Linked DNA regions of Mus musculus. The protein of the gene in region 5 purifies or fractionates together with the protein of the main gene of each other region. This does not show direct contact. Links are inferred from orthologs where the notes say so. Each region holds a gene or a part of one and is shown on either strand. Other genes may lie near its edges.

Region 1 (4,249 bases), on a different chromosome or scaffold from region 5:
CAATGAATTTTATTGACTGAGTTGCTTAGTTGCTTAGCTTGAGACAGGGTTTCTTTGTGTAGCTCTGGCTGTCCTGGAACTGGCTTCATAGACAGGGTGGGGGTGGGGGTGAGGGGATGGGGGTGGGTGGGTGGGGTGCCTCTGCTTCCTGAGCGCTGGAGCCAAACTTGGGTGTCACCACTGCCTGCCTGGCTGACACTGAATTCTTGATCATCTTACCTGTATCTCCCAAGTGTTGAAATTATACACATGTACCACCAAGCATAGCTTGGGTGCAATCTACACAGGAAGGCCCCAGTGTAGAAATTAAATTCTATATAAAAGTTTCAAGAACACAACATATTTAATGCCAGAAAACAAATCATAATTTTTTTTCTTTTCTTTTTTGAGATAGGGTCTGGTATTCAACCCAGATAAGCCTGGAATTTACTAAGTAGCCCAGGCTAGCTTTTAACTCTTGATACTTCTGCCTCACTCTGCCAAGTAATAGAACTACAGGTGTTTTCTTTTTTTACTAAATCCCAGCCTTTTGTTACTACCAGTTTGTAGACAAGTCAGCAGGTATACAAACATGTTTAGAGTGGCTGAAAAAACAGGGAGAGGATCAAAGTGCATAATCTAGCTGGGTGCTGGCTGTCTTCCTCATCTGTAATTAAAGGGTCTCCAAACTGGTGGATCAGATTTGCAGGGGACAGAGGCCTATCTTTATAGTACAACGAGGGGAACTTCCATGAAAATCTAAGGCTTACTCAAAGGTCAATAGAAAATACGGTGAGTAGCAACACAAGGCCCGCTCTATATGGCTGTTAGGCATGGTGGAGTACAGCAAGCCTCTTTCCCAAACCTTGCACCACTGGTTGGGGAAGAGACAAAAGAAAGGCTCTGGCCTCGCCCTTGCGGAACTTAAAATAAGTCCGACTGGCAAGGCAGGACTTGTAAAATTTAAAAACGCAGTTAAATGGTGGAAAAACTAAACAAAACACCACCTTTGCATAACAATCGCCTATGGGTGTTCTACAGGGCAGCGGTGGAAACTTGAAGAGTTTTTTAAACCTAGAGCCGGAGGGACAAAAAAAAAAACAAAAACCAAAACAAAAAAAAAAAAACCCAAGAAACAACAACAAAAAAAACAACCCGAAAACCAAAAAACTAAACTAAGATGGAAGAAAGGAGGTTGTTCTCGAGTGGAAAATGCCAGGTGAGGACTGAAGGCGGGTGGAGGAGAGCCTCCGCCAGGACACAGAAGGCAGAGCGCCGGTGGAGCGCGGCGGCTCAAGAGCCGGAAAGGCCGGCGGCCACTGCGGCGGGTCCGTTTAACCGAAAGGTGGCTTCTAAGAGCCTCCATTTGCGCGGTCCGGCCCAGCGCGGAGGTCGCGCAGTGGGGGCGGGGCGGGGCCTGCGCGCGCAGCCGCTCTAGCGGGCCTCGCCTCGGCAGGGGGCGGGGCGCCTATATTACGTGCGCGGCGCCGCCCCTGCGAGAGGACGTTGCGTGCTCGCTCGCGCCGGGCGAGTCTCCGCGTCTTGCCTCGCGAACTCGGTGAAAGGAATTGGCGCCGTTCGACACCAGGCGGGTCCGTTCTGCAGCAGCACTCAGCCATCTCCAGCCGCAGCCGCCGCCCGGGCCGACCAGCAGCAGCCGCCGCCGCCACAGGCCGAGGGAGCCAGCAGTCAGCGGGGAACCGGGGCCCTCAACATGAGTTCTTCGCCTGTTAATGTCAAGAAGCTGAAGGTGTCGGAGCTGAAGGAGGAGCTCAAGAAGCGGCGCCTCTCCGACAAGGGCCTCAAGGCCGATCTCATGGATCGACTCCAGGCCGCGCTGGACAACGAGGCAGGAGGCCGCCCCGCCATGGAGCCCGGGAACGGCAGTCTCGACCTAGGTGGCGATGCGGCCGGGCGCTCGGGAGCGGGCCTAGAGCAGGAGGCCGCGGCTGGCGCCGAAGACGACGAGGAGGAGGAGGGCATCGCCGCTCTGGACGGCGACCAGATGGAGCTGGGCGAGGAGAACGGGGCGGCGGGGGCGGCTGACGCCGGCGCGATGGAGGAAGAGGAGGCAGCGTCGGAAGACGAGAACGGCGACGACCAGGGCTTCCAGGAGGGGGAAGACGAGCTCGGCGACGAGGAGGAGGGCGCGGGCGACGAGAACGGTCACGGGGAGCAGCAGTCCCAACCGCCGGCAGCGGCGGCGCAGCAGCAGCCTTCCCAGCAGCGTGGTGCCGGCAAGGAGGCCGCGGGCAAGAGCAGCGGCCCCACCTCGCTCTTCGCGGTGACGGTGGCGCCGCCAGGGGCGAGGCAGGGCCAACAGCAGGCGGGAGGTAAGAAGGCGGAAGGTGGCGGGTGAGTGTTGCGTGATGGGTGCGCGTGGCGGTGGGGACCGTGCCCCAGGCCTGCCGGGGCCCCTCGGGGCGAGCGCCGCGGGAGGGTGGGGGCGGGGGAGCCCCGGGAGGCTCTGCTCGCCATGCCGGCGGCGCCTCCATTATGTATGTCGGGCGCCGGGGTGGGGGGAGCGCTGCAGCTGCCGCGGTGGGGGGGCCGGCCGGGCGGGAGCGCCGGCCGCTGGGGCGCTGCGTGCGCGCGGTCCGGGCACATGTCGGCGGTGGGGGGAGGGGAGAAGCCCGAAGGTCCCGGAGCGGGCGGGCTTTGGCGGCTTAGCGCCGCGGTATTGTGCAAGGAGCGCAGGGGCTCGTGGTGACGTCACTTCCGGCGGCAGGCGCGGGGAGCGGGGCGGAAGCTCAGTACAATGCGGCGGCGGGGCACGCGGGCTCGTGTGGGGGAGGGGAGGTGGGCCCAGGCTTCCCCCCCCCTCGTTTGAGCGCGGCCGGCGCACGTGGGCCCGGGCGGTGTCCCGCTTTTTTTTTTTTTAAACTCTTTTTAAAAAATGCTTTCTGGAAGGTTGCGGTAGGCTGGCAAGTTCAGTCTTCAGACTGCGTCACTGTGTCCAGTCCAAGTCCAGACTTTTTTATTTTCATTTGTCGATTAAAAAAGTCAAAGAATCAGTCAGAAAAAAATAATCAGTAACAGCTCTTGAGGCTCGAAACACAAAAGGTGCTTAACTGCATTATTTAGTTTTCGGCCTGATGCTTTAAGGCGGTGTTCTGTGTCGTTATAGGAGACGGCAAAACAGAACAGAAAGGTGGAGATAAAAAGAGAGGCGTTAAAAGACCGCGAGAAGATCATGGCCGAGGGTATTTTGAGTACATCGAAGAAAACAAGTACAGCAGGTAGAGGCTCCTCACCCAGTTTTAACAGTCGCCCGCTCTTTTTGTATACAAGGTGGGGAAAGCTTTATCAGGAGACAATTCTGTCTTTCAGAGCCAAGTCTCCTCAGCCACCTGTTGAAGAAGAAGACGAACACTTCGATGACACAGTGGTTTGTCTTGATACTTGTAAGTGAGGCGGACTTTCCCGCTCTTTGCTAGTTTTCAAGTGCAGTGTTAACATTGGTTTTAAGTGTTAGGAAAAATGTGTTGATCTTAAAGTGGAAAAAACCAGTTAAGAAACTTATTTTAAAGCAGGAAGGTAGTAGCTTAATGCTCAGGCTACAGTAGTTTAATATTAATACCACTTCAGTTGTATTGATTTAACAAGCTCTAGTAATTGGTAATATTTACGAGTTGAAACTTCTCAGTACTTGGGGGATGTAAAACTAAATAATTTTTGCTCGGCTATCAGAAACTTGTTTTTTTAAAAACCTGCCTGTAACTTGTCCTTAGATTACATGATTTAGTTTTTTCTCGTGGAACTATGTTAAGTGAGCTATTTGGGCTAGTTGAATACTTACTGATTTTCCCATTAGCACACAAGTGTATTCCCTATTCTAAGGATTGTAATATTAACTTTCAATAACTGCTCTTTTGTTCTCAATTCCAGTTCAGTAGCTGCTGCTTTAACATAAGTTGATTTCTTCCAAAGACCTGGGGCAGCAGCAGTGGGCTATCTGAGCCACTAGCTTTCTTCAGCAGCGAATGGTATCAATGGCAGCACTGTAAATATGCTACTTAACCCAGTTGGGTTGCAATTGAATATGAGGAAGTATTGCAAACCATGAAATGGGCTTTAGCTGTCAGATTTGTATTTTTATCCTTTAAAGAAGTCAGTTTAGTATTTAATAAGAACATATCTTTTGGTGTGAGCAGAACAAAAAAAGTACAAATCAGTGCTTAGTTACAGGATTTCACTTGGTAGAAGGGGTTAAAAGCTTGGATTCTCATGTTTTCCCTGTACAAATTGTTCAGAGCCCTGAGAGTTAAGT
Region 2 (2,820 bases), on a different chromosome or scaffold from region 5:
ATACTAATGCTGGCAAACATTATCACCAATGGCCACTCCACTCTCTCCCGGGTGTGGCTGGACAGACAGGGTGACCAGGTCTTAAAAAGGGCTTCGGGAATTTATTAACCACCTCCTTAAAAAGAATTTTTTTTTTTTTTTTTAAAGATTTGTGAGTTGCTGTCTTCAGACACACCAGAAGAGGCCATCACTACAGGTGGTTGTGAGGCACCGTATGGTTGCTGGAAGAGCAGTGCTCTTAACCTCTGTACTTCCCTTCTCGTAGAAATCAGTTAATACCTGACTAGGACAAAGGGGTGTTTTTGATACTGGAGTTTGATTATAAGGTGCAGGACTGTTGTGGTAGCTCACTCCTATGTTAACATATGCATAAGGGACAATCTCTGACTTCAAGGCCAGCTTGGCCTATGTATCAAATTCCAGGATAGCTGGAATGGGGAAGGCGGGGGTGCAAAAACCCAGGTAAGAGGCCTCTACGCGAATAAATAAATGAAGAGAATGGGGAGAAAAATCACATTTATTAGTTAAGACAACCACAGGCTGGACACAACACACATGCTAAAAAGTGGACTGTCTTTTAAAACTTCAAAGGTAATTTTTTCCAAGCCCCACAATCATTTCCATAATTATTTACAAAATAAAAGGTCCACATTAAGACATTGAACAGTAAAATATGTAATAAATGCTCCAATCTACACCTATACTTAAAAATCATGAATCTGACTAGCCATGCCATTGAAAACCACTCAGTACTAGAGGATGAACCAGTTTTCAATGTTATCAGCCCTGGAAAACACGCCCAGCTCCCACCCCCAGCACATTCTATTTTGTTTTAACATTTTATAAATAAGGCATTAACAATAAGCCCATTTTAAAAACAAAAAGTTAAATAACTTCCTTTAAGACTTTTGTCCTGGGCAAAAAACACACCAATTTTTTGGGAAGACATTTAGACCTACTTATAGCCATTCTGAAACAAAGCTGTTTGCTGGTGATCCTACTTAAATCTAAAGCTTTCCCCCCAATCCTTCTAGCTGTTAAGCCCATAGTGAACCTAACCCGAAAACTTTACTGTGCTTTTGGTTATGTCGTCTTCCTTGTGACTAGCCTACAAGACCCCTAAAATCCCCTGAAATAATGTGGAGACATTCCTGACTTCCAGGTGTGGCTATAAGCACTCTGGCAAGTCCTCGAGGACTAGGAACCTACAAGGTAATCCTGCACTAAAGACACAGTGCACACAGCTCTTGGGCTAACAGTCTTTCAGCTTCGCACATTTCGGCAGTTGACAACAAAACCAAGAGATGGAATAAAATTTTGATAAAGCAAAAATGTCATTACTTAAAACTGTTTTGCAAAAGAAATCAACATGTATTTATATAGTTACTGTCCTGTAGTTCACTCTTAAGGAAAATAGGCTATTAAATGACTTACTTCCCTGATACTGAAAAATGACAAAGCTTTTATCCAATAAATCTGGAATTATAAAATCCATTGTCTCTAACTTCTTCCCATACAAACAGATCATCCTAAGGGCCTTCTGAGTTCCTCTCCTAAATCCAGGAATGGGAAGTAGTCAACTTTCCTTGTGTAAAAATAAACACCAAAACAAAAATCCCCCCCAAAAACACTATCTAAGCCAAGTTGTACATGACATTATATATGTAAAATAAAGTACAATTTCACTTAATTCAGTCTTCAAATATCTTTTATTGGAAGGCCATGCATTGCCTTCATTTATTGTATTTGAAATCACTGTACAGTTACTTTTGTGAAAACACTGCCTGCATTTTCTAGTACAAAAAAAACCTAAAAATTGTTTCAGGAATGTAGAGAAATATCCAACTTAAATAGCGAAAAAAGTGCACCATAATTACTGCTGCACTGCAGTCATTTCTGCATTTCCCATGTTTCTTAAATAACTATCTTGTCTGATAACACACAATATAAAGAGCAATTATGAAAAACAGACATTTACATATACTTCTAAAGTCTTATTGAGAATACCCTGTTGGCATGGGATAGCCAATCATAGGCGCAGCAGCTGCGGTAGCAGGATATGCATATGCCTGTTGGTTCATACCATTGTGCATATTTGCAACATTACTTCCATATTGCTGAGTGCTATCATAACCGTTCTGGTAAGTCCCTGTTGGATTACCAGTCCTAAAACTGGTCTGTATGCCAGCAGATACAAAATTACTTCCAAAGCTCCCATTGGTGTAATTTGCAGCACTGTAAACACCATTCTGAGTTTTAGCCCCAAAATCTCTCTTAAGCAGATTAGAGTAGCCTCTGTCATAGTTTTCCCTGTCTCTAAAGGTATTAAATCCACCCCTTTTGCCTGCAGAGTATCTGTCACGACGATCGTCCTTCATGCCTCCTCTACCCCTGGAACGACCTGTCAAGAAAGTAAGTGGAAATTGATCAATTTTTATCTGTGGCATAAGTGTGGTAAGATAGGAGAGAGTTAGATAGCTCTATTTATGTTGGGTCTTAAGTGCTTTTAGATTCTTTAGGTTTCAAAATAAGAAGTACTCATTCTTCCGATCCCACTTTGTAGACAAGAGGTAACTGCCACCTACCAGAAACATCTCTTACGAAGATCCTTACCTGAACCTCTGTCTTCGACCAACTGAAGCAACTTGGGATTAATTGCTTGATTAGCTTCCCGAAGCACAGAGATAAGGTCGCTCACTTGCTTTATGTTATTAGGTGTAAAGAAAGTGTATGCTGTGCCTGTTTTGGTACTGCGAGCAGTTCTTCCAATTCGATGAATATAATCCTCTGAGGAGTTAGGGTAGTCATAATTGATGACAA
Region 3 (4,131 bases), about 2.3 Mb from region 5:
GAGAGCGCGGGCCTCGTGGTCAGCGCCTCCGCGGGGAGAAACAAAGGCGGCGGCGGGGGCTCAAGGGCACTGCGCCACGGGCCCGCGCCTCCCCCATCCGGCGGCGGCCACGTAGCCGGGAGCGCGCCGCAGCCCGGAGCCTCGGGCCTCGCAGCTGCAGAGCCTGAACCGCTCTCTCCCTGCGGGCCTGCGACGAGGCTGGGGGAGGGGAGGCCCGCGCTTTGTCTGGAGTCTCGGTAGCTGTCATCCGGCTCCCACCCTCATGCACAATTGTCCCATCTCCCCCACGCACCGGCGCGGCGCCCGCCTCAGCGAGGCCCCAGCCGGTTTCCCGCAGCCCGCGGCCCACGGGGCTCGCAGCCTCCCCGCAAGCTCGGACGCACGGAGCATCCTAAACCCCACCACACGCAAGATCGAAAAAAAGCAAAGGCACGAACTTCACCGCTCCGATGCTCAGGGCCGCGGATCCTGCAGAGTCTCCCGCCTGCGCGCTTCGGTTCAGCCACATCCGAGGGGAGGGGGCGCGGGCAGCTCCGCCGGGGGGGAGGGGGAGCACCGCCCACGCCCTGGCCGCGCGGGGCCCGCCGGGAACGCGTCCTGCGGGGGGCGGCGCGCGCAATGCTCACCGTCCGCGGCGTGGCGCCCAGGGGGTCTCCTGGCTGGGGGGAGGGGGGGGAAGGCGGGCAGGAAGGACCGCGGAGGCCTCTCTGCGTCTCGGAGCGCGCCAAAGCGGGGCTCCACCCACCTCCTTGCCCGGATCTTGAAGGCCGGGGAGATAAACAGCGGGGTTCTTTAAGCACCACCTCTCACTAGGCGCGGGATCCCAAGGCTTGTGGCATCCGGGGTGGTACTTGGACTAAAAGTCCTTCTGGGAGGGACCGAGTGAGAACCCCTTTGGGACGTGTAGAAATATTTGTGTGGTTCGAGAATATTTGTGCGGACGGGCTTGGCAAAGGCGTAGCTGCAGAGAGCACGCTTGGGTGGAGAGGGCCGCACGCCCCAGCGCCGGCCTAAGCCCCTCCCGACGGCGTTATTTCAAACTGCGCGACCGTTTCTCCGCTCCCTACGCGGAGGTGGGGGCCGGACCTAGTTCCGGACGTAGTAACACGCCGAGCGCGAGCCTTCCGCAATTCACGGAACACAGTTGCGCAAGTGATGTAAAGCAGTCCCGCTGTACCTAAAGGGGGAGTGTCACGTACTTGGCGTAAGGAGAGTGTAGGCCCTTCCCGCCATTGGCGGCGGTTAGGGCGTTTACGTAACGGCGTGACGTAAGCGGAGACGCGTTAGTGGGGGGAAGGTTCTAGAAAAGCGGCGGTCTCGGCTCCAGCGGCAGTAGCAGCGGCGCCGGTCCCGTGTGCAGGAGCTCCTTTGCGGCCCAGTTTCTTGGCCATCGCCTGCTCTCCCCACAGCGCCAGGACGAGTCCCGTGCGCGTCCGTCCGCGGAGGTCTTTCTCATCTCGCTCGGCTGCGGGAAATCGGGCTGAAGCGACTGAGTCCGCGATGGAGGTAACGGGTTTGAAATCAATGAGTTATTAAAAATGGCATGGCGAGGCCGTAGGCACCGCAATGGAAACCGGCCACCCGCCTCCGTGGTCCGGCGGAGGGGATGCGGCCACTCGAGTGGCGGTTGGCCTTGGCGAGTTTCTGAGGGGTCGTTGGAGGAGGCCTCTGATTGTCCGACCGCCTTCCCCGCCCTCAGCCGCCCGGCGCCATTTCCCTCAGTTGGGGTGGGGGATGGGAAGTGCCCGCCGCGACCGGGCTGGACCGCTAAAGTAGCGCGTGAGCGGGCCATCGCTGGCCTTTCGATGTGCGCGGGCCTAGGGGCTCGGTTGTGTTCGCGGCGGAACGTTTCTGGGGCCCCCCCGGCTTCCCGGAGCGAGTCTGCGAAGCTTCCCCTCCCCCCTCTCCCGGGAACCGGATTTGGCGGCCGCCATTTTCCCGTCTCCTTCCTCGCCACGATTTTGCTTTCAACGCTTTAGGTTTACTAGTTTGGTTTTCTTTTTTCACCACTGCGTAGACGTGTTTAGCGATTTTCCTTTCTTTTGGAAGTCTTCATACCGTTTCGAGGTGGATTTAGCGTTTTGAGCTTGGGTCTTCAGCGTCCTGCGCACCTCGCTAAAGGCTCTCTGCCTTCCCCTCGACGAAATGGCGCCATTGCTTTCTGAAGCCACCGAGGCGCGGGGTGGGGGCGGGGTGGCGGCGCTCCACGAGCTTTACTGGAACAGGCAGAGAGAACGTAGTACAACCGAGGCCTGGGCGGGTGGCTGAAGGCAGCGTCGCTGCAAAGAGACCGTTTTATTTTTCATAATACGTAAGATTACGGGTGCTGTAGTAAAGCACTTGAGCATTAGTATAGTAGGAGGAAGTCAAAGTGGAAAAAATGGGAGCGCTCATCAGGAAGCTAGGGAGGCTATGTTGAGTGCAGGGTTACTTTCCTTTTATTGCAGAACTTTTATCTGCTTAAAGGATCCTCGGATCGAAATAATTCAAATTATAAGCATTTTTAAGGGAATCTTCGAATTTGTTGGTAAAGTCAACGGATCCTTAGCACGTGGTGTTCACTTTAAGGAAGTGAAATAGCTGACTTTTCATAGTTAGCCTTCGCTTAAAGCCTGGTTCAGTGGACGAAAATCCACGTCCTGGCTATATAAAAACTTAGTTTGGGGTCACAGTGTTTGAGCGTGGTCATTCGGTTTTTTTATTTTTTATTTGTTTGAAATTATGATGCATCATTACACTGATAAGCATTAGCTTTCGAATTGAAAGGGGTCTCCTTGGTTATTTTCTTTGACTCTAAGCACACTTATAAATAAAATAACCTTGTTTATAATCGATAGTGGACGTCTGGTAAGTTTGGAAAAAACCCGAGGTAAGTAAAGAGCTTTTGCTTTCGTTAGTGATATGAAAAAACAAGGTGTATTTAATACTTGCAACTTAGTTTAAGGAAAGCCAATTTACTGACATTTTAGTAGAGCTACCAGAAACACTATTTGGAGTCCTGATTAAGGCTTTTGTAACTATTTTGACTATTTAAAACAATTTTGGTCGTTTTTATTAAACATTTCAAAACCTAAAAATTGTAAACATTGGCTTTTTGAGCACATTTTGGAGAAACTTACAAATTTAGGCTATACAGTAAAATAACGGATTTGTTTTATAATTTTGCTTTTTCATTTCGTTGTGCAGTCATAGGTCCTGGATAGTATGACCTAATTTATGAACATCTTGATAAGTTTTTGTACTTAGCTATTGGAAAGCCAGTATTAAGTGCCTGACAAAACCAGATTTAAGGTGATATCTGGAGTTTCAGCATTCTTCATGGAGCTTGTTTCAGAGTTGCAGGATTTTTTTTTTTCATCTTGAGATACTTACAATTAACACCAGAGGGGGCAGCTCAGGGAAAAGCAAATATGCCACTTTTCAGAAACTGAATCTTGGAAGTGGTGAATTTGGAAACAGGTTTTTTAAATTTTTTTTAAATCTAAAAAGTAGTAAATTTTGGACTTGGGTTGTAGAATTTAATGAATTACAAAAGAATTCTTTAATACCCTTTAAATGACCTAAGAGCTGGGTATGGTTTTTCTGAATTTTTTTGAAGAAAATCTAAGAAAGTTTACGTGAATTAGAAGTTAGATCGAATATTAGTGACTTTGAAACTTGTATAGCTCAGGCAATTTTTGGTGTAACACAACTAATATGCAGTTTAACATATGGTTTAAATTTGATGTAAGTTTTTTTTCTCCCCCCCAGAAAACTTTAGAAACTGTTCCTTTGGAGAGGAAAAAGGTACTCTACCAGCAGGTCACCTCATATTTAAGAATTTAATTTCCTGCATACAAAGAAAGTGTAAATAAAAATTGAAATGGTATTTCCCTTTGCAGAGAGAAAAGGAACAGTTCCGAAAGCTCTTTATTGGTGGCTTAAGCTTTGAAACCACAGAAGAAAGTTTGAGAAACTACTATGAGCAATGGGGAAAGCTCACAGACTGTGTGGTACGTACGTTAACTCTGAAAGTCTGGCTGTATGTTTGGGTGTGAATACTAGGGAATACCAGTATCAATACATTCTAATTTATATTGCTACCTAATGCCGGGAAATTAAATGCTTATCTTTTGGATTTAAAGGTTATGC
Region 4 (3,500 bases), on a different chromosome or scaffold from region 5:
TTTATTTCATGTATGTGAATACACCATTGCTGTCTTCAGACACACCAGAAGGCAGCACTGGATCCCATTACAGATGGCTGTGAGACGCCATGTGGCAGCTGGGATTTGAACTCAGGACCTCTGGAAGAGCAGTCAGTGCTCTTAACCGCTGAGCCCGATTTCCTCTATTAGTAAACAACTTAGCATCTCTATTTCTACCCCACAGACTGAAGCTTACTCAACTAGAATGAACACTCTTACCAGTGTAATAAAAGCCTGGACAGAATTTGAATGACTCAGAATAAGAATTCTCGGGTATACACATCTTTTTTTCTTTCTCTTTTTTGGTTTTCTTTTGTTTTCGTTTTTTGAGACAGGGTTTCCCTGTGTAAAGGTAACCTCGATCTCAGATATCTGGCTGCCTCTGCCTTCCACGTGCTGGGACTAAAGGTGTACGTCACTATTACCTTACACATGTACACCAACAACAACAACAAACAAACAGACTGGTATGATGGTGTACACCTTTAATAACAACACTCAGAACATAGAGACAAGCAGATCTCTGCAAGCTGGAAGACAACTAGGGCTACATAGTGAGACCTTGTTTCAAAACAAACAAACAATAAGTAAATAATATATTTGCTATTTTCCTTCCATACATTCACACACAAATAATGACGAAATAAACAAATGAATCTGGGCTTCAATTATTACTAGCCTTAAATCTAATCTCAATGCTTAGGAAAGTGGGCTGGGGTGGCTGGAGAAATGCCTCAGGTTAAGAGTGCTTGTTCCTCTTGTAGAGGACCTGGGTTCAGTTCCCAACATCCATTTGATGGTTCATAATCATCTGTAACTCCAGTTCCAGGAAATCCAAAGCCCTCTTCTAACCTCCATAAGCCCAAGGCCATGCACATGGTATGCATACATATACATATACATATACATATACATATACATATACATATACATATACATATACATATACATATACATATACATACATACATACACCCTTAACAGTAATAGAAATAAATCCATTAAAATCTTTGAAAGAAAGAAAAGAAAAAGAGTGGGCTGAGACTCCTGCTAACCTCTGACCTACACTGACCTGACTGCTATGGCCACTACATATTCAGTAACAAACTCAAAACCTTGAGGAGCCCTGTGCTTTCAGGCATACCATGACAAGCTAGCATGCCCAAGGCCCTGTGCACCATCTCCAACGCAGAAAGATAAGAGATACACTTACATGTTGGCAGGATCTTTAGTATTACCACCAGGTCAGCCACATTGTGTCCTGTAGTCATTGTTCCCTTTTTATATGATCCTACCTGCCGGACTTCTTCAATTTGCTGTTGAAAGGGATTTCAAGTAAGTTTAAGAAAATAAAGGTGTTGAGTCCTCATAGAACCATTTCAGCTGCTTCTAAATACCCAGATTTGGAAGCAGCAATGATAAAATCACATCCCCCAGATAACCACAGAGAGCCCTGGGCATGGCTAGCTGACCAGTGATTTCTCTGTACTTTTCCATTTTAGGCTTTAATTTGGATAACAGACAACTGAAAGATTAACAGGCAAGAGCCAAGTAAATTTCCATACCACCAGAGATACCCTTTCTTAGAATTAAGTCATCAAAAACTCACCACTTCAAATGTTCCTGGGGCCACAATCAAGTTGTCAATCACATTGTTGATTTTTGTCACCAAAGAAAGGATGGAAGCCTGAAAACATCACAAAGCAAAAATACCCTAAGCCAAAAATTACACACAATATATATTTAATGTCATCATCATCACCAGACTCCCCACATACAATAAGAAGGAAGATGAATAATTACACACCCAGAGGAGTTTGGGCTCTGACAGCATTCTTGATGGGAATCAAACCTAAGGGCCTCAAGTGATTACCACTGGCTTATAATCGCAGGCAAGACAGCACTCTCCTTAACCAGAATAGGGTAGAGCGTAACTCGAGGCTTTTGACACAGCCCAAGGAAAGCACATACCTGCTCAGCAGAATTAGGGGCAAGGTCTTGATTCCTCTTCAGCAAGGCTTCACTGAAGGAGGTCTCATCAGGTGCTGGCTTGACCCGGGGAAAAGCCATTTCACACTAGACCAGAAATCAAATCATGTTATTTATCAAAAATAATTCATAGAAGAGGGACTAAAGAGCTGGCTCAGCGGTTTAAGAGCATTGCCTCCTCTTCCAGAGGTCCTGAGTTCAATTCTGAGTAACCACATGGTAGCTCACAACCATCTGTAATGGGATCCGATTCCTTCTTCTGGTGTGTAGATGTATGTGCAGACAGGGCACTGATATACATAAGCTACATACATAAATCTTTTAAAAAAAGGATCTCTGTGAGTTATTTGAGGCTAGCCTGGTCTACGGAGTAAGTTCCAGGACAGCCAGAACTAAGTACAGAAACCCTGTCTTGGGAAGAAAAAAAAAAATTGAGAAAGAAAATACATAAGATTTTTTTTTTTGATACTACAATAGGAAAAGAAAATTGTTATATCCTTGTAATCCCAACCCTTTGAAGAAAGAGACAGGAGAACTAGCAGTTCAAAACCAGCTTCATGAGATCTGGTCTCAAAAATATATAAACAGGACCCAGTGAGATAGCTTGGCAACAAAGGCCTAAGTCATCAATTCTGGGACCCACACAGAAAACTAAATCCTACAAGTTGTCCTCTGATCCATCACCACACACTTGCTGTGGTGTACATGTAGTACTGACTGTAATAAAAAGAACTTCTTAAATATAGAGGGACTAAAGAGATGGCTCAGACTGCTTTTGTAGAGGACCCAGGTTCAATTCCCAGTGCCCACATGGCAGCTCACAGCTCTCTGTAATTTCACTTCCAGAGGATCTAACACCCTCACACAGATTATATATGCATATGTATATAATATATAGTACATATATACATATAGAAAGAGGCAAAACACCAATGTATATAAAAGTATATCATTTTAAAATAATGAAAATAATAATAATAGAGGCTGGAGGGATGACTTAGCAGTTAAAAGCACTGGCTGTTCTTAAAGGGCCCAGGTTCAGTTCCCAGCACCCACATGGGTCTCACAACCACCAGTTAACTACAGTTCCAAGGAATCTAACTCCCTCTTCAGCTTCCTCTGGTACTAGGCATGTGTGTGGTACACATACATGCAGACACACACACATAAATCTTTAGAATTAAAAAAACAAAACAAAAAAAAAACGGGCCAGAGAGATGGCTCAGCAGTTAAGAGCACTGACTGCTCTTCCAGAGAACCTGAGTTTAATTCCCAGCAACCACATGGTGGCTCACAACTATCTGTAATCGGATCTGATGCCCTCTTCTGGTGTGTCTGAAGAGAGCAATGATGTACTCATATATATATATATATTTTTTTTTTTGGTTTTTCGAGACAGGGTTTCTCTGTATAGCCCTGACTGTCCAGGAACTCACTCTGTAAACCAGGCTGGCCTCGAATTCAGAAATCCACCTGCCTCTGCCTCCCAA
Region 5 (4,102 bases):
AAACAAGGACTTAAAAAGGAACCTACAAGTATCCACACTAGTTTATTTCTAAAACGAGGAGTGTGAAGTGATTCATGTGGAAGAGAGCTTCATTCAAAACAGTCACACAGCATTCTTGCCCTCTGTCTCTGCAGGGCAAATCCCTCTGTCCCCCAGAGCACACTCTCAGAAACACTTAACCAGATACACACAGCCCTGGTTTGAATTAACTTCAGGCTTATTGTTTGCTCCAGGTTAGGAATGGGGGAAGACTGAAAAGCCAGCCAGAAACCCTAACCCCACCTTGCAAAACCCAGCAGGCTAACCTCAGTCTTTCCAGTTAAGAGTTACAGAGTCGGGGGGGGGGGGGGGGGGGGGGAGGGCAGGGAGGGAGGGGAAGGGGGGCGCTTCTCCAAAAAGCTTCAGTAGCTAAAATAGCCTGCAAATATTTTGTAAAGTGACAGCTACAGATGCTCTCATAGAAGAGAAATCTCAGTGAAGTTGCAGATTCCCCCAGCCTTCACCGTCTCTTGGTGATTATTTGTAAGCAAAATACACCAAGGGACAGGAGGAGCTGGAACAAAGGCACTGTTAGGAAAAAAAAAAACAACAACAACAAAAAAAAAAAAACAACTTTGGAGTGTTTGAAAGGCCCCAGGACCCCAGCATTCACTGTGTTCCAATGGCCGCTGGCTGGCCAGTGAACCAGGGCAAAAGCAACTGTGTTCCTCCTCCTGTATTAGAAGCGCCCACCACGGCGGACCAGCTTCTCCACATCTGTCCTGGACCTGTCTTCTAAATCCCGTAGGTTCCCAAAGACTATTGGCTTTTGAAACTCGGGCTGCCAGTTGAGACCTAAACCTGCTCTGCCAAGAACATGTAGCTGTGAGAGCTTCCTTGACAGGCTTTTAAAACAGCAACAATAACCCAGAAGCAGGGGCCGCAGGCAAGCCCCCATTTACGTCCCAGAATTATCAACGCGCGCGCACACACACCTGCCATAAACTTAAAGGCAAGCAGAAAAAGAGCTAGCTGAACCGTGGCCCCAGCGTGTAAGCCAAAGGGTCCGAGTTTGCATCTGTGTTCTGTGCTTCCTCCCTAAAAAGCGGCCAGAAAAGGGTAAATCCGCTCACCTCTGCCGTTTAGGGACCGAGTGCTCAACTTCCATCGGTTTCCCATGTAGTTCCATTTTACCTGTGAACACACAAGAGGCAAGACGACGGGCTAAATTCAGCAGCTTTCCCCACCTTGAAATCTACAGTCTTTAAGAGAAAACACACCCTGCTTCAGTGACCTCAGCAGGGCCCCAAGATTCCCACCCGACTCAAGGACAAGGGAGGAGCAGGGCAAGGAGAGGGTGCAGAGCTGACCCTTCGGGTGGGTGTGGCTTTTTAACTTGCAGAAAGCTGGGGAGGGAGAGCAAGAGTCAGGCTCACCACTTGGGTTGCAATTTTCGCCTCCTGACCCCCTCCAAGGGCCACCCCGCACCCCAAGGTCTGCAAGAGACACACCCCCAACAAACAGCCTGCCATGGGGGCGCGCGGCCTTCTTTCTGGTCCACATCCAGGTTGGCCTGGAGCACTGGGCGATGGGATTAAAGAGCCAGGGTGCCAGGAGGAGATTGGGCGGCCGGGGTGCTGGTCCACGCGCGCTGACCCATCAAGGCGCCGGCCTCGAGTCCAGCTGGGGACGGTGGAAACCGAAAGGCACGGACAGCTGCTCTCCCCTCGGGCATCCAGGCAGAGCGCACTCAGACACCCGGGCCGCGGCTGCGCGCACGGGCCGGGACTGCGGCGCCGCGCGTGGCAGGGCTGCCGTTCTGGCAACAGCCGGCCGCCGCCGCCCACCTGCCCCTTTCGCTCTAACGACCCCGCGAGGTGGACGCGGCGGCGTGGAGCGGGACCGCCTGGACGCGGCCTCCCCCCGGGCGTAGGCTCAGGCCACTTTCTGTTCTCTACGGCTGGGGGACAGCGACCAGACAGAGGGCCCGGCGGGCGTCCACGCTGGGCCCCAAGGCCCGCCTGGCCCGGCCTGCAGCACGCGCCGCGCCGCGCCCCGCGACTGACAGCGCGTCCCCCTCCCCACCCCCACCCGCCCCGCAAGCGGGGTCCCGGATGGCAGCTGCGGAGACGGGGAGGCCCCGACCACGCGCGCGGGCCCCACCTGAAAGCGCCTCGATGGCCTTGAGGGCCCAGCCCTCGTCCGGGCAGTCCACGAACGCGTAGCCCGTCTTCACCAGGAAGGGGCCCGCCACCGGGATCTTAGCGTCCTTGAAGACACTTTCCAGGTCCGCGGGGCCGGCGTGGTCGCTGAGGTTCCCGATGTACAATTTGTTCATTGTGAAAAGGGGTCGTTTTAAAACCCGAGGAAAATGCTAAATTAAAAAAAGCACCCACGGCGGAGGATGGAGCCGGTGGATTTTGTTCCTCTCCTCTTGGCTTTCAAACCCACACAGTGACCCAAGCACGGGAGCGGCGGGCGAAAACCAGATCCCAGGGTCCTTTTTCCTCTTCTGGGTATTAAAAAAAAGAGAGAAAGAAAAAGCCTAGCGACGAGCCCAGCGTCGAGTCTTCCTAACTCTGGGGAGGAGGCGGGATTAGCGAGAGAAAGGAGGAGGCGCGGGGGGAAACTACTTTTTGTCTCTTCCTCCCCAACCCCTTTGGCAGCGGCCAGCGGGCTGTGAAAATATCACACTACGTGGGGCAGGCGCCGCCTCCCCGTAAAAAAAAAAAACCCCGAGGGGTGACTGGCAGCGGCGAGGGGAGCGGGGCGGGGGCAGCCGCTCCGAGTGTCCGGCTTTTTGAATGAGCCACGTGTTCAAACTACAAATCAACGTCTCACGTGAGGAATCCCAGCGCCTCAATTAGAGTGGGTTTCGGAGGAAAGAGAAAAAAAAAAAAAAAAAAAAAAAGCGAGAGGGGGAGGGGAAGCGAGATTGGGCGAGGAGGGACCCCGAGCTGGAGCCGGAGCCGGAGCCGGGGAGGGGGTGGAGAGCGTCCAGCCGCTGCAGCCGGCGCCAGGCGCGATGGGCACGGCGAGTTTCCAAAGGGTCCGAGCCTCGGGAGGGTCAGACGAACGATCCTTTTTCCTTAAGATGAGGAAGCGGTTAGGGGGTCCCGCGGTTGCAGTTACCGTAGTTTGTAACCATTCGATTTTTAAAAAATGGGTCACTTAACAACGAAATCTGAATGACAATCTCGAACTCAGTCGGTGGCTCTGATGACCGGGGAAAGTAGAACCCGGGGGCAGAGCGCCGCTCCCCTCGAGGGCCCCGGGGACCGAGCAAGCGGGGCGGCCCGGGCCGGCGTGGGGGAGGGGAGCCGACGTCCTGGGCGGGTGTCTACGCGACACCTCCTCCGCCTGCGCTCCGGGTGGCTCTCCGCCTCGCCGTTCATTGGCTGCTCGGCTACGAGAAGACTCTGGATAAATGAGGCCGGGGGCGGGCTGGCCGCGTGGGGGAGGGGCGCGGGGCGGAGGCTGTGGGGCTGGGGGTGGCCGAGTGGGAAAAGTCGGTACTTAAAGGGAAACCCTCGCTTCCTGTGGTTTTTCGAAGGGGGAGGGCTGGGTGTGGGGGAGGACTGATACTTTTATTTAAATAATTTTTGTTAAAGAACTTGGGACTCTAAGGGAACCCTGTTCAGCGTCAGCCTAAGGTGGCGGCCGCGCTGGGAAACTATTCCTCGGCTCTTTCCGCCTTCCTTTGACTGTGAGAGCCATTCATAATTTTCCCTGTAGGTAACGAGCACAATGGTGGTTGGGGGGTTGGGTCTGGGCCCGGTGGAGCCTTCCTGATCCTACTAAATGTGAGCCGGAGAACAGGAATAGGGAAAAAAGGGCAGTACCCCTGTCCTTGTGAAAACCTTCAACTGTGGCTTAATGGTTGTGTGCTCTACTCAAAGGCTTCAAAGATAACTTGTGATATATTTTTAACAGGCATTTTATGGAAAAGAGAAATTGCCGGGTTTGGATGACTGAAATTAAGCTCTATATAGCCTGAAAATACAGGCAGAAATCTAATGTTTTGCTACTCTCGCAAGTTGAAAAATGTGAATAGAGAAAATATGTGCTTCATACTACAAACGCCTTCAGCAATTGATAATTTGATATGGTGTTCTCTTTCAAA
Region 6 (4,231 bases), on a different chromosome or scaffold from region 5:
AATCCAGCAAGAAATATCCCCAATGTTAGCACAGTAACAATTTTTGGATAGATAATCCAGAGATGATTAAAATAAACCAAGGCACAAAAAAACCCAATTTTTTGCTAAGAGTTTGGGGAAAACACACAGGTTTACTTTATCAGCTATCAAACACACATCTGCCAGTGTAGTAACCAGGTCCAAACTCTCAACTCTGTTCCACCCTCTTTCTGTTCACAAGCAATCCAACTTGTGCTTCAGTGTAAAACGTTCAAAGATGTCATTCATCATCCTCATGTCCACTCAACAGAAAAGCAGGACAAATTAAGGCAGTTTAGAAAATAACTTCTAATATTCATAATGTGTAATGACAATTCTGCAACAAAGGAAAAACTGCTGTCAAGAATCTAAGGGCACTCTATGAGTATCTGTAAATTTCCAGTAGCTGATACTGAAAATTTTGGTATTTTAATCTCTAATACAAGCTAGAGCTGCCCACACTGCCCTGCTACAAACAATGCCAACAATTTCTTCAAAACCAGAACTCACCTACTAATCCGGCTACTCAGGTCATTGAGTTAACATTTAGTCTAGATAGTAAACTTGCCCTAGGTTCACAGGCCAAGGCTGAACAAGAAACTGCCTTCATCATCAGCTAATGGTGGTTGGGTCTGGGTACTAGCAAGGCAAATTGGTGCCTTGAACATGTCATTCAGACTCTTAGCCAAAGTTAATCTTCTAAATTATCGAATGAATTCTTTACCTACAGACAGCCACCCACTCTGCAAACATTCCGGTACTCCATCTGAGGCTTGCTTCCCCCATCGCTAATTCTAGTTTTGTGTGCTTTGTTTGAGTCTAGGTCTTCTGTGTAGCCCTGGCTGTCCCAGAACTCTCTGTAGTCTACAGATCTGCCTGCCTCTGCCTCCTGAGTGCTGACATTAAATCGTGCATCCATGCCCGCCAATATTTTGATTCTGAATTCTCAATAACCTAAACCATCACAATAAACCAAGCCACTGGGAAACACACTTTGAAGCCGTTCTCACAATCAATTTGTCAGAACAAAACAATTTTCATACACTGAGATTAGATAGTGCATATGTCCGAAAACGGTAACGAAGGGACAATATATAATTCAGTCGTCCTAAGGTCCAAACTGACCGAACTCCCCCTCCCCCATTTTTTTGAGTCAGTATCTCACTGAGTAGCCCTGGCTGTCCTGTGGAAGTATGTAGACCAGGCTGGCCTCGAACTCAAAAGACCACCTGCCTCTAACTCCAGAGTGGTGGGACACTGGGTCCAAACCTAAAGACCATAAAGGGATCACTGAATTTCGCTAAATCAAGTGTTTACTCAAAGTTTGGTTCACATGCCTAGGGCTACAATAACTGCCAAATATGGAATTGGGACAAGAAATTACTATCCTCACTTAGAATTAGTGCATCCTTTTAAACTGCAGCTAATGGTTCCCCTGCCTAGGTACTTGGAACAAGCGAGGTATAGTGTCTAGAATCTAAAAACCAGAAACCTTAAGCTAATCAACTGCACAACAATCACACCCGGAGAGAAGGGGGCAATTTTCCTTGATTCAGATTTGCTGCACGTGTTTTGTTTTTAAGAAGCAAAAGGCATCTCCTCAATGTTTTTTGTGCTTTGGTTTAAAACTAGTTATATCTTGGGAGTAGAAATTGTGAACACGACCCTACAGCCCCCCCCCCCCCCCAAAGCACCACAGGGGTACCTAAATAAATCTGCCCTTAGAGACGCAGGAAAACCTCAATCAGACTCCACTAACGAAATCCACACCATTTAGGGAAACTTACGTTCTTCTCCCCTTGTCCTACCCCAAAGAATAGCAGGGGGAGAAAAGCCCATTCCCAAAGCACTGAAACGTCCTTTTTATTCCTGGGTAACAGGAGAGATTGTCTGCAGAAAAAGGACGTAGGAGACGCACGTTACAGTCCCAGTATCCGAACACGTTCGGGATAATCCGGGGAGGGCGGGGGGAAACGCCGAGCACCCGGCAAGTGGAGCGGCGGCCACCTTCAACCCCGGATTCAGTTTCCGGGCACAGAAATGGTGCCCGGAGGCCGCTACTTTCGCATCTGCGTTGCTTCTGCCTCCGCCGACACGGCCTCCTTCCCCTCCCCCACGGGCGGGGCGACGACCGGGAACTAGGGCCGCCGGCGAGCGGAGGAACCAGGCGGGTGGGCTTCCTACCCTGAAACCGCCTCTGCAGGAGCCCACTGCCCCGCTTCGCGGCTTGGCGCCCGTTGGCGCGCTCTGGGAGCTGGCGGCGGACAGGGTACCCCCGGGCTGCTTCATCCTAGCAATCCCCAGCCCCACCTGTGCCCTCCTCTGCACCACGCGCGCAGGTCATCCTCCTCCCCACGCAGCCTTCCGCTCACCTTGCAGGAAAGGCTCGGCTCTGCACGCACGCACGCACTCTTGCTGGCGTAGGCAGCCGGCGAGAACAATGTTTCCGCCGCACCAACCCCGACACCAAGCGCACACACCGGACGGTTGCCGCGAGCCGCGGAGCGGAGGGAAATGTCCCCTGCCGACCACCACACCGACCGCCCCTCTCGGCCCCCGTACACACCTCCAACCAACAGCGGCGGCGGGCACGTCGCGCGGAGGTCAGTAGTGTCGCGGGATCGGCCGCAGCAGATTCTCCTCCCTCGAAGCAACCCGAGGCTTCGGAATCCGGAGAGCCGCGAGCTCGGGGCCCCTCACAGCCACCTCTTCCCGAGAGCCTAGAGCTGCAACGAGCTCCAAGAACACGGACGTCCCGCCCCCTTTGCCGCCGCCCCCTCTTATTGTTTTACCCCTGCGGAAAGGGCTAGGGAACCCCCCAGCACAGCGCCAGCCAATCAGGCATCAGTTTGGAGAGCTAGACCCAACCTTCTCGCGTCCCACTGCGGAGCACGCGCAGAACGGCGCCGCGCTCGCTCGCTCGCTCGCTCGGGCGTCCGGAAAGCCAGGGAACCGGAACCGGCCTAAAGTCGGGGCGAGAGCCCGCTGATTTGACGTCACAAGGAAGCTGCCTTTCTCTTGCAGTGATGCTGAAGCCTCCCTGTCCTCTCAGGTGGCGCGAACAAAAAAGATGGCTCGCCGCTAACCAGTGGCTTTTACAAACGGTTATTCCTGGAGCCTTTATTCGTGATAAGAGGGAGCAAATTTAGTAATGGTCCTGGTTGCTGCGTTATCGGAGCATTAAAATGCAGTTTTGAACTCTGCACAGTGAGCTCACCTGTATTGCTTAATTAGCCTGTTTTAGGAAATGGAGGTTTAAAAGTCTTTCTCATCAATGTCAAACAGCTAGTTTTAAATAAGGGTGCCGAGCTATGGAGTATGGGGAAAGTATGACATAGGCTGTATGGGCTTGGGGCTTTTGTATGGCCTTGGTGGCTTCATCCTTAAATGGAACTTACTGGAACAAAGGCTGAAAGGCTTAAAATTTAAAAAAGAAAAAAAAAGCCACTTATAAATCTATGCCACTGGGACTTAGTTATGGAAACAACACTGCTTCATGAACCTTGATTCATGGGGAAAAAAAAGCCTTTGTAGACCAAATGTTACTTTGCCACTAATAGCAATGTTTTCAATTTCAAGATAGCAGAAGAAACTGGGAATGAAGCTATGAAACGGTGAAAGGAACGGAAGGGCAATTGAGAGGAATAGAACACATTTTAATCAAGCAAAATGCAGGATTAAATACATCCTCAGTTTTCCCTCACAGTAGAGATTTCCTAGAAGAAGAAAAAAAAAAGGTTCACAAAAGGCAATGCTGATTGGTACTTGAGCCTCCAAAATCTACACTGGCATTATTTTGGATTGCTTAATAATTTTTATATGCAAAATATATAGGCAGACCATCATTTATTAAATGACTCTGAGATGGTTTTTCTTAATGCATTACTTCTGCAGATTACCTTTTAAGTACAGTGTTTATAGACCAGATACGCTACTGGTATTTTATAAAAGTCACTTATGTCTCACAAAAACCCACTTACGTAATTACCTATTTGAATGCACACTTTACAGATGAGGAAAGTGAGACTTACGAGACGGTTTACCCTAAGGACACGCTCGTATTACTCATCTCAGCCAGGCTCGGGGCTACATACCTCTAATCCCAGCACCTGGGAAGCAGAGGCAGGAAGATCACAAGGTCTAGGCTGACCTGGTCTACGAAGCAGATTCTAAGTCAGCCAGGGGTACATAAGGAGACTCTCTCGATAATACT
Region 7 (4,104 bases), on a different chromosome or scaffold from region 5:
TTTTTGTTCTTATCCACTTGGTAAACTCCCAGTAGAAATGTCATTCCCTCAGACCCATCCTAACCTACTCATTGCAAAATGAATTACCTGATCTCTGTGATCCCAGAGTCCCTGGTATTGGAATTACAGTTGGTTGTTTGCCCACATTCGGGTACTAGGAATTGAACCTGTGGTTTCTCTAGAGCAGCTGTCTCTCCAACCCCCTTGAATTTCGTTTTGTCCTTGAACTGACAAAAAGTGTTCATGCCTTTAAATGCTTTCAATCATTTCCTGTAACCAAGAAGCATTTTGTAGTTCCCCAGGCTTAGACTTTAAAGATCAGAAGGTCTGACCCTGAACTGCCTCGTACCTCATTCACATTCTTAGTCTAGCCGCTCACTGCTCTCATAAGATCCATCTCCCCTCCACCTCTGCCTAGCTCCGGGACTGGAGAGGTAGGCAGGGTCATGCACAGGCTAAACGATCGCTCTATCATTAAGCTACATTCCTCAGATTTCTTTACAAGATGATGATGGGGGAAAACCAGGACGACTGTAATTCCAGGATGCACAGGGCTAAGGCAAATAGGATCAAGGATTCGAGATCAACTGAGCGGTACTGAGAGGCCAAATTAAAAAAAAAAAGGGGGGGGGTAATTGTGGGTTTGAAGCCTCTTAAGTTGTATACATATGTGTTATTGTTGAACCAGCCTTAGGGCCATAGGGTCCAGACTAAAGCTCATCTTCTTCCAGGTTAAACGTCACAATCTATAAACCTTGTTAAGGTCTAAAGAACAGCAAGCCGAGGCATTCCTAAGTGAAAAACGAGACTGATCAGTGTGCTGTCTGTCAGGAGAGAATGTGGAGGACCAGAGCGACACTGCGTTCGACTCAGTTGCTAGGCCAGGGCAAGCGAAAGTATGCTGCATCTTCCCCAGTGAAAGTGGGGCCCAGCCGCTGGGCCGGTCGGAAGGATTTCGGTTCCCACACCCGGAGACTCCAGGCCTTGACTACACAGTTCCGCTCTCGGGCGCAGGGCCCTGGCACCGCCCCTAGCGGGAGGCCGGGTCGTACCATTCTGCCTCTAGTGGGGTAGAGGTGTGTCGAAGGCGAGCCCCGGGCGACGGACGAGAGCCACCGGCCGCAAGGAGAAAGCGCGTGCGAGTGTTTGGGAATAAAGCGAGTTCGTTTTCCCTCTTGTCTTCCTGAGCTCTCCGTATCCCCGGGGAAGGGTGGGGACCTGGGCGTGCCTCCCCCTCGCGCTTCTCCACTTGGTACGTCCCGGTGGCGCGTAGGCGGCAGGCGTACTTAAGGCGGGCGCGGGAGGCGGGGCCGCTCAGTCCTCGCGGCATCGCTTCGCGGTCGTCTGGAACTTTGTTGCTTGGCGGCCTGCGCTGCGCGCGTGCGCGGACATGGCTTCAAACGGTATGTGGGAGCGCGAGGCGGCGACGGCGCGTCCCTGCGAGGCCTCGTTCCCTCGCAGCAAGGCTTTTGGCTTTCGGCTGGGCCTGCGGTGGCGGGCGAGTGGGCTCCCCCACCTCTGGCGGGAAGCAGCGGGTGGAGGGAAGGGGAGGGCGGTGTCGCCATTTTGTTTGGCTCCCCTGGCGCCTTTGGCGCGGAGACCGTGGGTTTTCTCTCCTGGCCCGGTCACTTGAGTCGAGTGTTGAGAGAGACGCTGCCTGGCGACGTGGGGTGACCGGGGTGAGGGAGCTCTGGGTCTCCGCAGCTTCGCCCCACCCCCTCCCCTCCCTCCGTTCCCGGCCTCGCTTTGTCGCAGTGCTGCATCCGGGCACTTGGTGCGCGCACGCGCTCCTCTGGCCCCTCCCCCTTCTCGCCGCGGCCCCCCTCCCCCCCGCCAGGAGTTGGTCCGTTTTTTTTACTTTTTTCTTTTTTTCTTTCTTCTTCTTTCTTTCTTTCTTTCTTCTTCTTTTTTTTTTTTTTTTTTTTTTTTTTGTCGCGAGACCCTCGGCGGAAGACTTGTGGTCCGGTGCTGGCCTCGCCCTGCTCGCTGGGTCCCTTGGGAAGGGGCGGGGCCACCTCTTCCCGCCTCCGTGGCCGCGCAGCGGGAGCGGAAGCTCCTGGCTGGCCTGCGTGTCCGTGGGATTGGGAGGACCGCCAGGGGATGACCAACGGAGTCAGGGACCCCGGCCTGAGTTTCCCACTTCAGAGTTGAGTTTTCCTAAGGCCGGAAGGAAATCAGAGGAGTCGCTCTCCGAGGCCACACCCTCTCGCTGTCAGTTTTGTCCCAGTGCGGGGGTAGAGCTTGGGTTTCCTGCAGGGAGCTGCTGAGCTACAGCTTCCCAGATTGTTGAAAGTGCTGTCTGCTTTGGGTGCGCATGGTAGGCGGGAGCTCAGTTATTTGGAGCCACACGTCGGGAACCTTGGGAGCACCATGCCATTTGGGGGTTGGAGAGTCCCATTCTTCTAGCTGCTTCCTTGGGCTTGAACTCAACTGTGTAATAGCGCTGACTGTCAAAGTTAATCTTGACATCCGGTGATACCACCTTTCCTGTATACAGAGCTGCTGTGAAGATATAAAATGTGGTGACGTGTGTTGCAGGCCTTGGAAAGACCTGCAACAAGTCAAAAGGATTTTTAAACTTAAGGGATGATCTGTATTTTGAGTTTTTTTTTTTTTTTTTTTTTTTTTTTAAAGATTGAGCCAGGTTTGGTGGCACACACCTTTAGTTTCAGGACTAAGAGGTAGAAGTAGGCAGATCTATGTGAGTTCGAGGTGGTCTACATATTGAATTCTGGGATAGATACATAATCGAGACTTCTGTCTCAAAAAAGAAAAAAGGCAAAAAGGACATGATGTTGGATTTTTTTTTTTTGTTGTTGTTGTTTTTTTTCGAGACAGGGTTTCTCTGTGTAGCCCTGGCTGTCCTGAAACTCACTCTGTAGATCAGGCTGACCTCGAACTCAGAAATCCATCTGCCTCTGCCTCCCAAGTGCTGGGATTAAAGGCGTGCGCCACCACGCCCGGTCCGATGTGGGGCATCTTTAATCCCAGCATTTGGGAGGCAGAGGCAGATGGAGCTTTGTATGTATTAAATTGGAGGCCATCCCGGTCTACAGAGTGAGTTCTATGCAGAGAAACCCTGCCTCTAGATAGAGAACCAGTCCACCCACAGAGCTCTGTGGCTGTCATGCTTAGTGGTCGCTTGTTTAGTGGGTCCCAAGCAAGCCCTGGGTTCTACCCAGAACAAAAGTCTAAGACTTATTGGTGTCTAGAAATTTGTGCTTTCTTTGCTTTTTGTAATAAAACTTGGCCATTTTGTCTCATGAGGAACTAACTTATGCCTGTTTTTGTAGATTTGTTTCATCTGGAGTGCCTAGTACAAAAGTTGAAGAATTTATTTCTATTCTTAACTAAAATTAAGACCTTTTTCTTTCCCATCTTTTACAGACTATACCCAACAAGCAACTCAAAGGTGAGTATACTGTTTCTGGTCTGATGCTAGAAGACAGCAAGGGTGATTGATCTAACTTGAGTTTTATGTATTTCTGTATGCTTTTGTTCTTATTCTTTTAGTTGAAGATTACTGGTCTGTTTTCTTGTAGCTACGGGGCCTATCCTACCCAGCCTGGGCAGGGCTACTCCCAACAGAGCAGTCAGCCCTATGGCCAACAGAGTTACAGTGGTTATGGCCAGTCAGCTGACACTTCAGGATACGGCCAGAGCAGCTATGGTTCTTCTTATGGACAGACCCAAAACAGTGAGTTCTTAGTAGAACACATCTTCATTTCTTTATGAATGTTAACTTTTCTTAAACCTGAACAATACCGAAATTCCCACATTTTCCCTAAAGTTTTGTAGTCATTCTTTTAAAACAAAAATACTGATTTGTAATTGATTTTATATTGGACTATTTTCTTCCTGCTTACTATTTTTGTGAAAAAGCAAGTTTGCTAAAGAGAGAACCAGTTTAGAATGACGGATAGGAAGGAAATGGTCTGCTTGGGAATTCTTGAAGTTGGCTGACAATCTGTGATTCACAGAGGTGGTGCCATTTTTACCTCACAAGGGCAAAACATTTTTCTTTCCATATCAGCACATTTAAAATGTAGTTAGGGCCAGGAGTGGTGGCACACACAACTTTATCCAGCACTCTGGGAGGCAGAG

Evidence for each region.
Region 1: the proteins of Igf2bp3 (region 5) and Hnrnpu purify together in Homo sapiens (affinity purification with mass spectrometry; 3 studies listed by BioGRID and IntAct, with this or other methods). This does not show direct contact. The link is inferred for Mus musculus from reciprocal best matches to the Homo sapiens genes IGF2BP3 and HNRNPU.
Region 2: the proteins of Igf2bp3 (region 5) and Ddx5 fractionate together in Homo sapiens (co-fractionation; 3 studies listed by BioGRID, with this or other methods). This does not show direct contact. The link is inferred for Mus musculus from reciprocal best matches to the Homo sapiens genes IGF2BP3 and DDX5.
Region 3: the proteins of Igf2bp3 (region 5) and Hnrnpa2b1 purify together in Homo sapiens (affinity purification with mass spectrometry; 4 studies listed by BioGRID and IntAct, with this or other methods). This does not show direct contact. The link is inferred for Mus musculus from reciprocal best matches to the Homo sapiens genes IGF2BP3 and HNRNPA2B1.
Region 4: the proteins of Igf2bp3 (region 5) and Ilf2 purify together in Homo sapiens (affinity purification with mass spectrometry; 3 studies listed by BioGRID and IntAct, counting the BioPlex papers as one, with this or other methods). This does not show direct contact. The link is inferred for Mus musculus from reciprocal best matches to the Homo sapiens genes IGF2BP3 and ILF2.
Region 6: the proteins of Igf2bp3 (region 5) and G3bp2 purify together in Homo sapiens (affinity purification with mass spectrometry; 3 studies listed by BioGRID and IntAct, with this or other methods). This does not show direct contact. The link is inferred for Mus musculus from reciprocal best matches to the Homo sapiens genes IGF2BP3 and G3BP2.
Region 7: the proteins of Igf2bp3 (region 5) and Fus purify together in Homo sapiens (affinity purification with mass spectrometry; 3 studies listed by BioGRID and IntAct, with this or other methods). This does not show direct contact. The link is inferred for Mus musculus from reciprocal best matches to the Homo sapiens genes IGF2BP3 and FUS.

Annotation. Positions count from the first base shown.
Region 1 is NC_000067.6:178,335,016-178,339,264, reverse strand, and holds the start of Hnrnpu (heterogeneous nuclear ribonucleoprotein U), read left to right. Parts: upstream 1-1,449; 5' UTR 1,450-1,693; coding exon 1,694-2,312; intron 2,313-3,106; coding exon 3,107-3,218; intron 3,219-3,309; coding exon 3,310-3,383; intron 3,384-4,249. UniProt on the Homo sapiens protein: DNA- and RNA-binding protein involved in several cellular processes such as nuclear chromatin organization, telomere-length regulation, transcription, mRNA alternative splicing and stability, Xist-mediated transcriptional silencing and mitotic cell progression.
Region 2 is NC_000077.6:106,779,856-106,782,675, forward strand, and holds the end of Ddx5 (probable ATP-dependent RNA helicase DDX5), read right to left. Parts: coding exon 2,614-2,820; intron 2,402-2,613; coding exon 1,995-2,401; 3' UTR 501-1,994; downstream 1-500. UniProt on the Homo sapiens protein: Involved in the alternative regulation of pre-mRNA splicing; its RNA helicase activity is necessary for increasing tau exon 10 inclusion and occurs in a RBM4-dependent manner. Binds to the tau pre-mRNA in the stem-loop region downstream of exon 10.
Region 3 is NC_000072.6:51,467,046-51,471,176, reverse strand, and holds the start of Hnrnpa2b1 (heterogeneous nuclear ribonucleoproteins A2/B1), read left to right. Parts: upstream 1-1,331; 5' UTR 1,332-1,500; coding exon 1,501-1,506; intron 1,507-3,750; coding exon 3,751-3,786; intron 3,787-3,881; coding exon 3,882-3,992; intron 3,993-4,124; coding exon 4,125-4,131. UniProt on the Homo sapiens protein: Heterogeneous nuclear ribonucleoprotein (hnRNP) that associates with nascent pre-mRNAs, packaging them into hnRNP particles.
Region 4 is NC_000069.6:90,479,201-90,482,700, reverse strand, and holds part of Ilf2 (interleukin enhancer-binding factor 2), read right to left. Parts: intron 2,098-3,500; coding exon 1,993-2,097; intron 1,709-1,992; coding exon 1,631-1,708; intron 1,338-1,630; coding exon 1,235-1,337; intron 1-1,234. UniProt on the Homo sapiens protein: Chromatin-interacting protein that forms a stable heterodimer with interleukin enhancer-binding factor 3/ILF3 and plays a role in several biological processes including transcription, innate immunity or cell growth.
Region 5 is NC_000072.6:49,212,155-49,216,256, forward strand, and holds the start of Igf2bp3 (insulin-like growth factor 2 mRNA-binding protein 3), read right to left. Parts: upstream 2,801-4,102; 5' UTR 2,318-2,800; coding exon 2,143-2,317; intron 2,022-2,142; exon of another isoform or gene 1,543-2,021; coding exon of another isoform or gene 1,491-1,542; intron 1,174-1,490; coding exon 1,113-1,173; intron 1,107-1,112; exon of another isoform or gene 1-1,106. UniProt on the Homo sapiens protein: RNA-binding factor that may recruit target transcripts to cytoplasmic protein-RNA complexes (mRNPs). This transcript 'caging' into mRNPs allows mRNA transport and transient storage.
Region 6 is NC_000071.6:92,080,945-92,085,175, forward strand, and holds the start of G3bp2 (ras GTPase-activating protein-binding protein 2), read right to left. Parts: upstream 2,801-4,231; 5' UTR 2,630-2,800; coding exon of another isoform or gene 1,928-2,629; exon of another isoform or gene 1,806-1,927; intron 1-1,805. Other genes in the region: uncharacterized protein Gm46933, read left to right, coding at 1,928-2,629.
Region 7 is NC_000073.6:127,966,175-127,970,278, forward strand, and holds the start of Fus (RNA-binding protein FUS), read left to right. Parts: upstream 1-1,304; 5' UTR 1,305-1,390; coding exon 1,391-1,403; intron 1,404-3,387; coding exon 3,388-3,412; intron 3,413-3,542; coding exon 3,543-3,697; intron 3,698-4,104. UniProt on the Homo sapiens protein: DNA/RNA-binding protein that plays a role in various cellular processes such as transcription regulation, RNA splicing, RNA transport, DNA repair and damage response. Binds to ssRNA containing the consensus sequence 5'-AGGUAA-3'.